Bombyx mori: one gene and its partners. The main gene of each other region encodes a partner of the protein of the gene in region 3 in a complex. Links are inferred from orthologs where the notes say so. Each region holds a gene or a part of one and is shown on either strand. Other genes may lie near its edges.

What was found.
Region 1: THO complex subunit 3 (region 3) and THO complex subunit 5 homolog share a complex: the UniProt entries of both Homo sapiens proteins name them as parts of the transcription/export (TREX) complex. The link is inferred for Bombyx mori from reciprocal best matches to the Homo sapiens genes THOC3 and THOC5.
Region 2: THO complex subunit 3 (region 3) and SAP domain-containing ribonucleoprotein share a complex: the UniProt entries of both Homo sapiens proteins name them as parts of the transcription/export (TREX) complex. The link is inferred for Bombyx mori from reciprocal best matches to the Homo sapiens genes THOC3 and SARNP.

Annotation. Positions count from the first base shown.
Region 1 is NC_085114.1:10,650,210-10,654,553, reverse strand, and holds the start of THO complex subunit 5 homolog, read left to right. Parts: upstream 1-1,500; 5' UTR 1,501-1,568; intron 1,569-1,587; exon of another isoform or gene 1,588-1,853; intron 1,854-2,230; exon of another isoform or gene 2,231-2,841; intron 2,842-2,921; exon of another isoform or gene 2,922-2,935; 5' UTR 2,936-2,979; coding exon 2,980-3,078; intron 3,079-3,453; coding exon 3,454-3,591; intron 3,592-4,269; coding exon 4,270-4,344. UniProt on the Homo sapiens protein: Component of the THO subcomplex of the TREX complex which is thought to couple mRNA transcription, processing and nuclear export, and which specifically associates with spliced mRNA and not with unspliced pre-mRNA.
Region 2 is NC_085113.1:6,730,916-6,733,893, reverse strand, and holds SAP domain-containing ribonucleoprotein, read right to left. Parts: upstream 1,481-2,978; coding exon 689-1,480; 3' UTR 597-688; downstream 1-596. Other genes in the region: S-adenosylmethionine sensor upstream of mTORC1, read left to right, coding at 1-565. UniProt on the Homo sapiens protein: Binds both single-stranded and double-stranded DNA with higher affinity for the single-stranded form. Specifically binds to scaffold/matrix attachment region DNA. Also binds single-stranded RNA. Enhances RNA unwinding activity of DDX39A.
Region 3 is NC_085132.1:2,065,632-2,069,853, forward strand, and holds the start of THO complex subunit 3, read left to right. Parts: upstream 1-1,325; 5' UTR 1,326-1,421; coding exon 1,422-1,640; intron 1,641-1,785; coding exon 1,786-1,907; intron 1,908-2,262; coding exon 2,263-2,398; intron 2,399-3,601; coding exon 3,602-3,705; intron 3,706-4,222. UniProt on the Homo sapiens protein: Component of the THO subcomplex of the TREX complex which is thought to couple mRNA transcription, processing and nuclear export, and which specifically associates with spliced mRNA and not with unspliced pre-mRNA.

The DNA of each region.
Region 1 (4,344 bases), on a different chromosome or scaffold from region 3:
CATCATGCCCCATCAACATGGTTAAGACACTTAAAGTATACCGGTATATCTATCTTGATAAAAGGACAAATGACTTTGTCCAATTTACAAAAATAAAAGATGTGTAAAATTGATGGAAATTTTGAATTTTCATTTAGTTCAGAAAAAAACTTGCAATCTCAATCTCAAAAAACTAATTTTTAATAGATCCTAAAGGTTAAATCAATACAAAATTACTATTTTATTGTATTTCTATATAATGCTTAGTATATGTGAATTTTAGATTTGGCAATTTAGTTTCAATTTTTTCAGATATCTTTTTTGTTCATCTGTTGATAGAAATGTATGGGACAAGTCATTAAATTGAAAGTATGATTTAAACCCAGTGACCTCAGGATCATCAGCCCACAGAAATTTACTGCTGTATATAAGCAAGGTTTACCACAATGACTGGTCTTACATAGCCCACATCCAGCAATTTACGCAACCTTTAAAATCTTAGACATAGAACCACCGAGACCTAAAATACAACCACCAATTTCCCATTTAGGATCTTGACACTCTTATTTGCTTAATAAAACACCCCATTATTTCAACTTATTACTACTTCTGATTTCCAAAGCACACAGCCTAGTCACGAGACTTACCTTGAATACTGCAAAAAGATTTATTGTATCGATTGAGGGTATTAAAGGATTAATTCTATTACTTTTACTTCTATTGCTAACGCTAATCGAATGAGATGCGCCGGCAAGGTCAAACATAGGTTGTACAATCATAATTCCTACTTTAAAATATTTTTTGATTTAAAATGTTTATTACAAATTCATTGCGCTCACGGGGTTTAAGAATTAGTCATTTTCAACGGATACAATGAAATTTACGTAAAATTGGATGGCTAATGATCGGCATCTAATTTTTTTGTATTGAAAATTTTTGCACTACTCCACTTTTTTGTAATCCATACACATCATAATAATAATAAATTACAAACCTTAAATTAAGCGATATCCTTATTTAACAAAATTGCACCTTACAAGCCGGGTTTGGCAAAATATAAGGATTTGGTTGCTGGCGCGATTACAGCAGTGATATTTTTGACCTTCTCAAGGTGGAAAGCAAAAACAAATGTCCTTTGTTTTGTGTACTTAAAGAGGCAAAGGGATCATAGTCATTTTATATAAAATAAACTAGATAACTAATCAACTGGGATGAAATTAAATGAAATGAGATGATATGGGATGAAATATTTATGATCTCAGTAAAATGGTGGTCATTTACTGAGATTCTTTCAGTGGACTTTTTGGAGGATCCCGAGGAGTTACGTCTAGCGACTTTGTTTCATTTTCCCACATTTGTGCCCTTTCGCAAATACTAAACAGGTAATAAACCACCATTATCATACATTCAAACCTGAAGAAATACCAAATAGACAAAATAAAACATATCACACAGCTTCACTCCTCGCATTCCCGCCAAAAAGTCGAAATCTATGAGCTGAGAGATGCACACATAGATTATCACATAGGTAATATTTGAGGATGCTTAACTGACATTTACTGACATTTATGGAGAGTTGCTATTGCTGAGTAGACGTGCGCTAATCATGTTCGGAACTGGATTGAACATGACATCGTTCTTTTGAGTGTCGGAACTAGTTCCAGTAAACATGTTCGCGGAACTGTTTAGTTTCACGAACATGTTAAGTCTAGTAGCTGTTTGTAGTTTGTAGCTGTTTAGTTCCGCGGACATATTAAGTCTAGTAGCTGTTTGAAGCTGTTTAGTTCCGCGGACATGTTAAGTCTAGTAACTGTTTGTAGTGTAGCGAATCACGTATTAAGTTATTATTAATTACACAATATTTTTCAAAAAAGGTATTAAAAATACAATTTTTTAAAAGCACTATATAAAAATAGATTGCCGCTTATGGCAATTATTATTGTAATATTATTTTGTAAGGTTTTTAGTTTTAGGTTCATTGTTACAGCTGGTTGCATAATTTATTAATGTACTGTAATTACTTTGTCATAATTTCAACTACTCTACTACTTTCATTATTTTTCAATGTAGGTATTGTACGATGCACCGAAAACTATAACCTATCAGTTGTTAATTAAAATACCACGTTATTCTGATATACAACGTAAATTGAGCTCGTTGTAGCCTTACAACCTTTTTCCCATAACCGAGATACCGAATAGCGAAAGTGGTGAATGTTTTAAAATTCTCGAATTTTGAATTATGATTTTCTAAGAAATGGTCTACAAACACTTAAGGTTAAGTGCTCGTAGGAATGATGCATGGTCAAGGTCAAAATCCATAGCAAAACATTTTAATTTATTCAACTATCGACTGTAACACGTAGGTCGTAGAGCATAACTTCAATATTAATAAAAATGTAATATGAAAGAGCTCCACACGCAGTTTCATGCACTCGCTCCATCTCACTCTCTCGTATTCGTGCCATATGTCGCCTTATCTCTTTACGTGGACTCGTGTCGGTTCGAGACTCGTTCGGGTGGACTCGCCGCGCCACGCCTCCGCGCCGCGCGGTACCTATGCTCTAATCATGTCCGCATGTCCGTCATGTTCAACGCGTTCGTAGTTCCTGCATAACAGTACACTTGGAATGGAAATGGAACTGTCTGAACATGTTAATTTTGACAACTCGGATTGAATGATATAGTTCCATATGAGGACATAGTTCCAGGAACTATTTAGGTCCGGAACTACGCATGTCTATTGCTGAGTAGGTACAATAATGAAGTATAATTTAAAAAAAATCATAGTTAAAGACTACCTTTCAAATTAAAGGCTAACATTAAAAGAAAAATAATTCAAACATTACCGTGAACGATGCTAGTAAAAGCTTTAATATATAAAAACAAATCCAGTGAATAGAGTGAATAGGCAGTAAGGTTGTAATTGTCTGTTTAAATTAGTGATTTTTTTAAAGTTCCAGACTTGGATGAAATCTGATAAACTTGAATAAAACTAAACATGGGAAAAGAAGAAGTAACGGCTGTTAAGAAACGGCGCAAATTAAATACAAGTACATCAAATGACGGAACAAAGCCAGTTCCCGTTGATGTATACAAGGTATTGACCAAAATATATAAGATGTAACATAACCTCAAGACTCATTATTCTGTACCATAAATATGTATAATAATGTAAATTTAAGTACATAGTTCTACTAATAAATGAGAATTTATATTTGTGGCTCCTGGTTTAGCAAGCTGTTGCTTTTATATTTTCTGTTGAAGTTTTTGTTTCAGTTTTAACTTATTATTAACAAAAATAAAAATTAAGTGAATCCTGTTCGTGAAATATCTTGTGATCTTCAAAACAAGTTTAATATTAACACTTAGAGAAGTTGTAAACTGAACAAGATCCCAGTACACCAAAAAAATTGTCTTTATTTTTCAAGATTCTTCATTCATTACAAAATGTGTTTTAAATGGATTGTTCCAGCGTGTTGTTGAATTTGAAGAAGCTGAAGCTCATCTGCGTCCAGCTGATAAGGATGCTGCCTTTTTCAATAAAACATGCCAAGACATAAGGCAACTTTTTAAAGAGATTGCAGAGTTAAAAACTAAAGAAACATTGGAGGTATGCCACTTTTCAATTAATAGTTAATGCAGGACATAATAAGAGTCGGGTCCTACCTCGAGAACAGGATGGCCGTGTGCACCGGGCACTGTGGGGCGGTGCTCCATTTTCCCGTCGAGCGTGGTGTCCCACAGGGGTCGGTCCTTGGCCCTCTCTTGTGGAATGTCGGCTACGAACTGGGTCCTGCGGGGTGCCCTTAGCACTCCTCTCCCGGGTCTGAGCGTAGCTTGTTACACGGACGACACTTTGGTCGTTACCCGGGGGAGGGACATCTTTCCTGTGTATGGGTGGCCTTCGTCGTCTGCAGGAGTATCGCGTTCTGACCCGGCAGGCTGGTTCTGGTCCAGCTGGGTATCCCGGAACACCAGCGGCATCGCCCGGGCGGCCTGGCAGGGCTGTCGTACCGCGGAGACCGGCTTCGTTGTCGTCGACTGTCGCATTGAGGACTCGTCGATCCGGCGTCTTCAGGGTGGCGTCGCGTGTCTGGTTGTAGTGTTGACTACCAGATCGTAAAGTCCCACACCCCCCTAGACGCGGGGACCTCGTAGGAGGTTCGGCACCCGGCTCGACAAATAAAAAAAAAAAATGGACATGATTAGATTATATTATGAATTGTAATTAATGTTAAATAATATAAAATATGGAACAATGCAATTAAGGCAAAAGTTATAATTACAGGCTAAAGAAAAGATAAATGCAAAAAGAGTGGAAGCTTCATTACTGCTGGTTGCGTTAAAGAAATTAAATCGCCTG
Region 2 (2,978 bases), on a different chromosome or scaffold from region 3:
TTTTGATGTTTTTGCTATTGATTTATGCCCTGCTAATGAGTCTGTATTACAGTGTGATTTTTTAGATACACCAATTGGCACTAGAACCGTAATTGAAGACAATAAAGTTAAAGAAATAGGAGAAAATAGCTATGAAAGTGTGACATTTTGTTTTTTATTAGAATATATTCCAACTTCCCAGCTTCGAATAACTGCATGTCAAAAAGCCTATGACATATTGAAACCTGGAGGGTTGCTTACTGTTACCACACCGGATTCAAAACACGTTGGAGCAAATAGCAAAACAATGAAGTGCTGGCGTTATGCATTAGCCTTAATGGGTTTTTCAAGAATTCGTTATCAGAAATTTCAACACATGCATTGTATGGCATTTCGAAAGTGTTTATTGAAAGATGTAGCTATTCGCTGGGCTAATATTCATAAAGAACCTTTTATGGAATATGCACTACATATACCACAAGATTTTAATACTAATGAAATTAGTAAAAATTCTGCCCAAAACCAAGTCATCCATCACATAATTGATGATTTTCAAGAATTGCCATTCTATAACATGAACGAATGATTTAATATGTAATTAAAATGCTTAACAAATATTGACTTAGTAGAATGTTTTATTTATTTAAAACAATACTTATATACTAATCTTAATTTGTTAGAGTAGACTTTCCATTATCAGAAACATGTTCTATGCAACAGCACCAAATTTGGCTTTACGTTTTTCCAATTTCTCCTTTAGTTCAATATCTGTCATTATTTTGGAAACAGATTCACCAAACCTCTCTGCTCGCTTTCTAAGTTTTTCCATATTTTCGTTTAACGTCCCTGTACTAGTGAAGGTGTTCTGATTATCATTTTGATTAAACCTTTGTTTCCTGGCTTCCTTTCTCTCAGACTCGGACATTTTAATAGGCAAACCAAATCTTTTAGCACGCAACTCTAACCTTTTCTTTGGATCTAGATCAGTATTTATTTTAATGACATTATTACTTTCGGATGCCGTTTTCGGCTCTACAGATTTTTCATTAATTTGATCATCAACAGTTTTAGAACTGACAAGTGAAATTGATGAGGGTCTATTCAACACAATTTTCTTTGCACTAGCATTTTCTGCACTTTTATCTTTGGTTTCTGCGTTGGTTTTGCGTTTTAATGTTCGTGTTGATTTTGTTTCTACAGCGATTGTCGCAGTAGAAGACTGTTCCGAAAGAACTAAATCTTCGTTTAAAGTGTCCACGGCAGTATCATCAAGTACGTCTGTTTGGCTTTTAACTTCTTCGTCTTCAAAAACTCCGTCCGAGTCCATTTCGTCAAATTCAAAGTTGATGTCGGTGTGTTCATCTTGAGATATAATTGCAGCTTGTAGTCTAGCGATTAACTCTGCTTTGTCGCCGGCGTATGAAAGTCCACGTGATTTTAATTCTTTACGTAGTTCAACAACTTTCATCTTAGTCACATCGGAAACTGTTGAATCCGCCATAGTAATCAAAAGTAGTTTACGTTATTGAACAAGGAACTTTTAGAATGCTTACACGCGATGCTTAGCGTTAGCTTACACTAGAAATTAGAAATACGAAGTGTATAATCTATGTTCACTACTTTTTTTAAGAGATTTTATGACCTGGTAACTAACACTTTTAGGTCATGTCCTACTTTAATATTTAATATTCTTAATTTTATGAAAAATTATATGGAGTAAAATGAAATTAAGTGAAGATGATTAATTTGAGACATTAATCAACCAGAATGAAATTAAATTAAATAAGATGAGATGATATGAGATGAAATAAATCTTAGTCAAATATTTACGGAGATTTTATCAGTTGACTTTTTGGAGGATCCCGAGAAGTTACGTCCAGCGGCTTTATTTCATTTTCCCACATTTTTGCACTTTCACAGATATTAAACAGTTAATAAACCACCGTTATTACACATAACGGCCATCTGGTGTAGTGGTAAGTGACATGGTCACTACACAAGGGGGTCGCGGGTTCGAATCCCGCCAAGGGAAGATATTTGTATGATAAATATAAATGTCTTTTCCAGGGTTATGGATGTATATTAAATATATGTATGCGTATAATAAAAATCTTACATTTAAATCCGTTATCTGGTACCTGTAACACAAGTTCTTTACGAACTTATCACGGGACCAGTTAACGTGGCGTGATTGTTAGTAAATATTTATTTATTATTATTTATTATTTAAACCTGAAGAAACACTAAATAGACAAAATTAATCAAATCACACAACTTCACTCCTCGCGTTCCCGCCAAAAAGTCAGTTAGATTACAACGTAAAATGGAGCATAGATTACACGCTTAATTAAAATAGCTGCGAAATTTACACAACAACGTAAGTACCTGACAGACTAAAAGAGGGTAGAAGTTTAAACAGCACAATCTCTGAAAAAATGTGTGGAAAAGTGATTAAATGACTTTTTTACCGGGAACCCGGCATTGTGTGAATTGATTAATTTTATTTAATTTAGAATTTCATTTCGTCATGCTTAAACGTGTTATTACGGCAGCTTAAATTCCGATCCGGTGATAGATTCTGCGAAACACTCCTCTTGCTAGAGCTAGTATTAACAAACTTTCTCAGATTGAGCAGGTTGTAAGTTCACCCATCCGCGAGAACCTGGAATAGGTAGGGAAAACATTTATGTAATTAATAAGTACAAAATCTCTAAAAAATGTTCCAATTATACGCCGTATTTCTAATCAAGTGATATTAAGAGTGTTCATGTCGTAACTACGTTCATGCTTTGAAATTAGAAAAAACTTGAGTCTATCCAAATGATCGGAAATCGGAATAAAGTTCACAATAGAGTCATACAGTCATACACAGAGCATTTAGAAAGATAGGCGAAAGTTTCTATTTGATTAAAGCCAATGAGGACGTAATTTGACTACAAACAAAGGTTGAAAAATTTATTAAATGTATTAGTATGTAATTTTAAAATATTTTTCATAAA
Region 3 (4,222 bases):
TCGCAGTGGGTCGCGTTTCCGATTCGCTGATAGATTCTACGAAGCACTGCTCTTGCTAGGGCTAGTGTTAGCAACGTCACTAGATTAGAAATCTCGTGAGCTCAGTTAGTCGTTCGGCAAATCTAATATAACCCCTTGAGGTTACTAGAATAGGTAAGAAAAAAAAAAAGAATTGCAGTGAAGCTTGTTCAAGTAACGATGATTGAGGTAAGCTAACATCCACTAACACGGCAGACGCATTAAAAGATATAAATTGTGATTGATGAGGTCCCAGACCATTTAAAGAGCGTATAAAGGATCTCTACCGAACGAACTTCCATTTTGACAAGCGGCTTAACACAGAAAGTAACGCTTGATACTAAAAATATATGAGTAAACTTAAAAAATAATATGTCGGATGGTTATCAGTTTACTAATTCAGAAAAATTACTCTCTGCGCACTTATGTGCAGATATTTGTGTTTATTTATTGCCTTTCTAAGTGGATGTGCATACGGCCCACTTGATGGTAAGTAGTTACCGTCGCTCATAGTCTATGAGTTATAGACATCAGGAATGCCAGGGGCAGAGCCAAGCCACGGCTTACCAAGTGCTGCTTGCTGTGTGATGTGATACATTATTTATTGTTAATGCTATTTTCGTTGTGCTTTTCCCTTTTTTTTCAGGAGGCTTTGTTGCACTGCGCGTTTATGCTCACAGTTTGGTTGACTCCAATGGCTTACTTCATGAGCCAAATAAAGGTGTGGCGACGAGAATACATGGGCAAGTGAATGACGAATAAATAATTGATTTCTTCTACTGTCTTTATTTTTAAATCTCAGAACGTATTCAGCTTCACCTCTACGCCTTAATCCATTCAACCTGGTAACAACCCGTTAATTAAATAAATGTCGAACACTAAGGTACAGTACAAGATTATAAGGTAAAAGTTCGGCATACAAATTATTTTTTAAGGTTTTCTGTAACTTTTTGTAATGTTCACCTTAAAACTTATGGAAATGAACTTTACAAAGATATTTTTAGAAAGCATTCTAAACTTTTTGCGAGAACGAGAGGTCTACTCTCAGCTTCCAAAGCAAACCCAGATCCGCATTAATACGACCCTAAAAGGTTAAAATTAAGGATAACAAAATCGCTGGACGTAGCTTCGGTTATCCCGGAAATCTCAGTAAATTCTCATCATTTCTATGAGCGCTGTTTCATCTTACTTCTATAAAATAATGAAATCATTCCTACAACTTTGCTTCTCGTGCTGCTGCCAAATAGTCTTAATTTCATACAACTTAGAGGTTTTGGCATTTATTACAAAAGACTTGCCTGTATGAGTTAGATTTCCTTTGCTTGTCCGATGAAAGGAACAGTCGTCAAATAAACAAAAAACACTAACAGGAAAACAACTAAAATTTTAATGTTAAATTTTACATGATAACCAAAGCTATGAAGGATTCAAAGCATTCGCAAGCTCCTATAGAAGATTTAAGTGAATTACGTAGTTATTTTGCGTCACACAATACTACACGCGAGTACATTGCACATTCATCCAAAGTACATTCCGTGGGCTGGTCCTGTGATGGTAGAAAGCTGGCTTCTGGGTCATTCGATAAAAGCGTTGCAATATTTAATTTAGAGAGGAGTAGATTGGTGAGTTATTGTTTATTTCAAAATATTTAAAATCCCTACTAAATTTGAGAGGTTATAATAAATTTTTTTTTGTTTTTAAGCAATAACTTAAAAATTGTGCAGCCTAGAAATAAAAATAAGTAGACACAAATTTTGTAAATTTCAGAGTCAAGATTTTATTTTCAAAGGCCACACAGGCTCTGTAGATCAACTCTGCTGGCATGCGTCACATCCTGATCTCCTGAGTACAGCGAGCGGAGACAAATCTGTTAGGATATGGGATACACGGTAATACTGGGATGTTAATTATTAGCCCTTTATAAATAAATATTAATATGAGATATCCAAAAAAAATTATAAACATCTAGAAATTTTTATATCAACACACATGAATACAATAGTTGAGATTCCATCGTATTCATAAAAGACAAGTGTTAGTTCCAAATGAACATTAATACTATTTTGCGGTAGAGAGTGTGGCATACCTTTATTGTAAATTTTCATAATATATCTTCCTGAACAAGATTGATACCATTGAGTTCAGTTGGCTTTTTCATGGTGACTTAATTTAAACTATTAATTTTAAATTTTTCTTATAATATAGAAAATCTAAGGGTGTTCTACAGGATAATAAAATTTATAGATCACACAAATGCGCGGCGACAATCCCAACCAAAGGTGAAAACATAAATATAGCATGGTCTCCTAATGGCAACACCATTGCGGTAGGGAACAAGGAAGATTTAGTTTCATTTATCGATACAAAAACTTATAAAGTGGTGAGTAATGAATTTTTACTTATATACAGTCAAAACCGTTTACTGCGACATCGTTTAGAACAACATACCGGTTATAATAACCTAGAACAAAGGTCCCGGCTGAATGCCATATGACCGCCTTATTAAAAACATTGCTTTATACGACATTGCTAATAACGACATACCTCATATAACGACCACATTTAACTAATATTTCGGAGAATTAGATCTGTTAGAACGACCAGCTAAGCTGTATTGTAAACAATTTGAATAGGTATCCACATTTGTCTTCAATGGATATTAAAATCAGGAAAGAAAACAATAGGATTTAGTTTAGTGTAGGGTCTTTTCTAATTCTTAGAAACAAAACACGTGCATGCAGTAGAGTCAAAGCCCGCTTCTTCATATCTCTTCAGTTAGTTTGTTACTTATCTATACACAAGACGCATCAAAACTTTATGGAGTTATTCGTGAAACTTTAAAAATGTCGCAATGAAAAAGAAAACAAATTAATATTGAAGAAAAATCGCGGATTATATCCAAGCTAGAGAGCGGAATTTCAAACAAAGACTTAGCAAAGGAATATGGTTATCACACTCGACAATTTCAACCATTTGGAAAGAGCGATGACGATACGTTAATTAAAATCCAACGTGAATTACAAAATATCTACGCACAGCAGAAGTGTTCCAAACAGACCAAAATTACAGATTTTATGCTCACAGAAAACTAATATGCATTGTACTTATGTGTAATAAACAAAATGTACGTTGTTGTATAAATATATTTTTCCAATAATTCCCTATCGATTTGTTTGTACTTGCACGATACACATTAAACATCACCGGTTGTTACGACTATCGGTTTTTACGACTGAATTTGAGCAGTCCCTTCGATGTCGTTATAACAGATTTTGACTGTACATACATATCTATCATCTCTCACAGCATTGATAAAAATTCAACTACATATATAAAATGTATGAAAATCATTAAAATCCACTGTCTAACTTGGTCATATTTCTTGTATCATCCAGATAAAATAGTATTATTAAGCCAATTGTAATTTTTTTATTGACACTCTTTTAAAGATTGACCAATTAATACCAAAAAATACCACTCAAAGAGGATACATACCAGAGATTCTGTCTTTTCAAATACATGAATATAGGGTGATTTGTATCGATTTAGTTACTGCATACATTAAGACATTTATTTATTGCAGGTAACAGAAGAACAGTTTAACTTTGAAGTGAACGAGATATCATGGAATAATACATCGGACTTGTTCTTCCTCACCAACGGACTGGGATGCGTACATATTATGACGTTAGTATTTTATAACATTTAATTCATCAATTCACTGCTAGAAGGAAATAGTTTCAACATTACTATAAAAATAGTTTTGTATTTGTTAGTTGTAAGTGCTGCTACTAAAGTTTGTATGTATTCTGAAGTTTACTTCATTCTTGCCATGGAGGATAGAACTAAGGAGTATTCCATCTTGTGTAGGGGACAAGTTGAAAAATGTCTACCTGTAAACAGCAAGTTACAGTTCGAAGAATCAACAAAATAACGCTAGTGTAGAAAGTGGAAATGGTATGATCCGTAAAGAAGAAATACGACAAATTATATAGCTGTGGTTTGAATTTCCCATTTTGTGGTATCATAGGAGCAGTAGTATTTAAGCTGCTTCAACTAACTAGATTGTCTAGGCACTGACACAAAGGATAGGTAACACAGAGAGAATTAATATTGTTATGTCATTCACTTAATGTATATTGTATATAACATAGGATTTCGATACAATATAGGTAGATTAGCACTTAATTAACTCAATATAAGT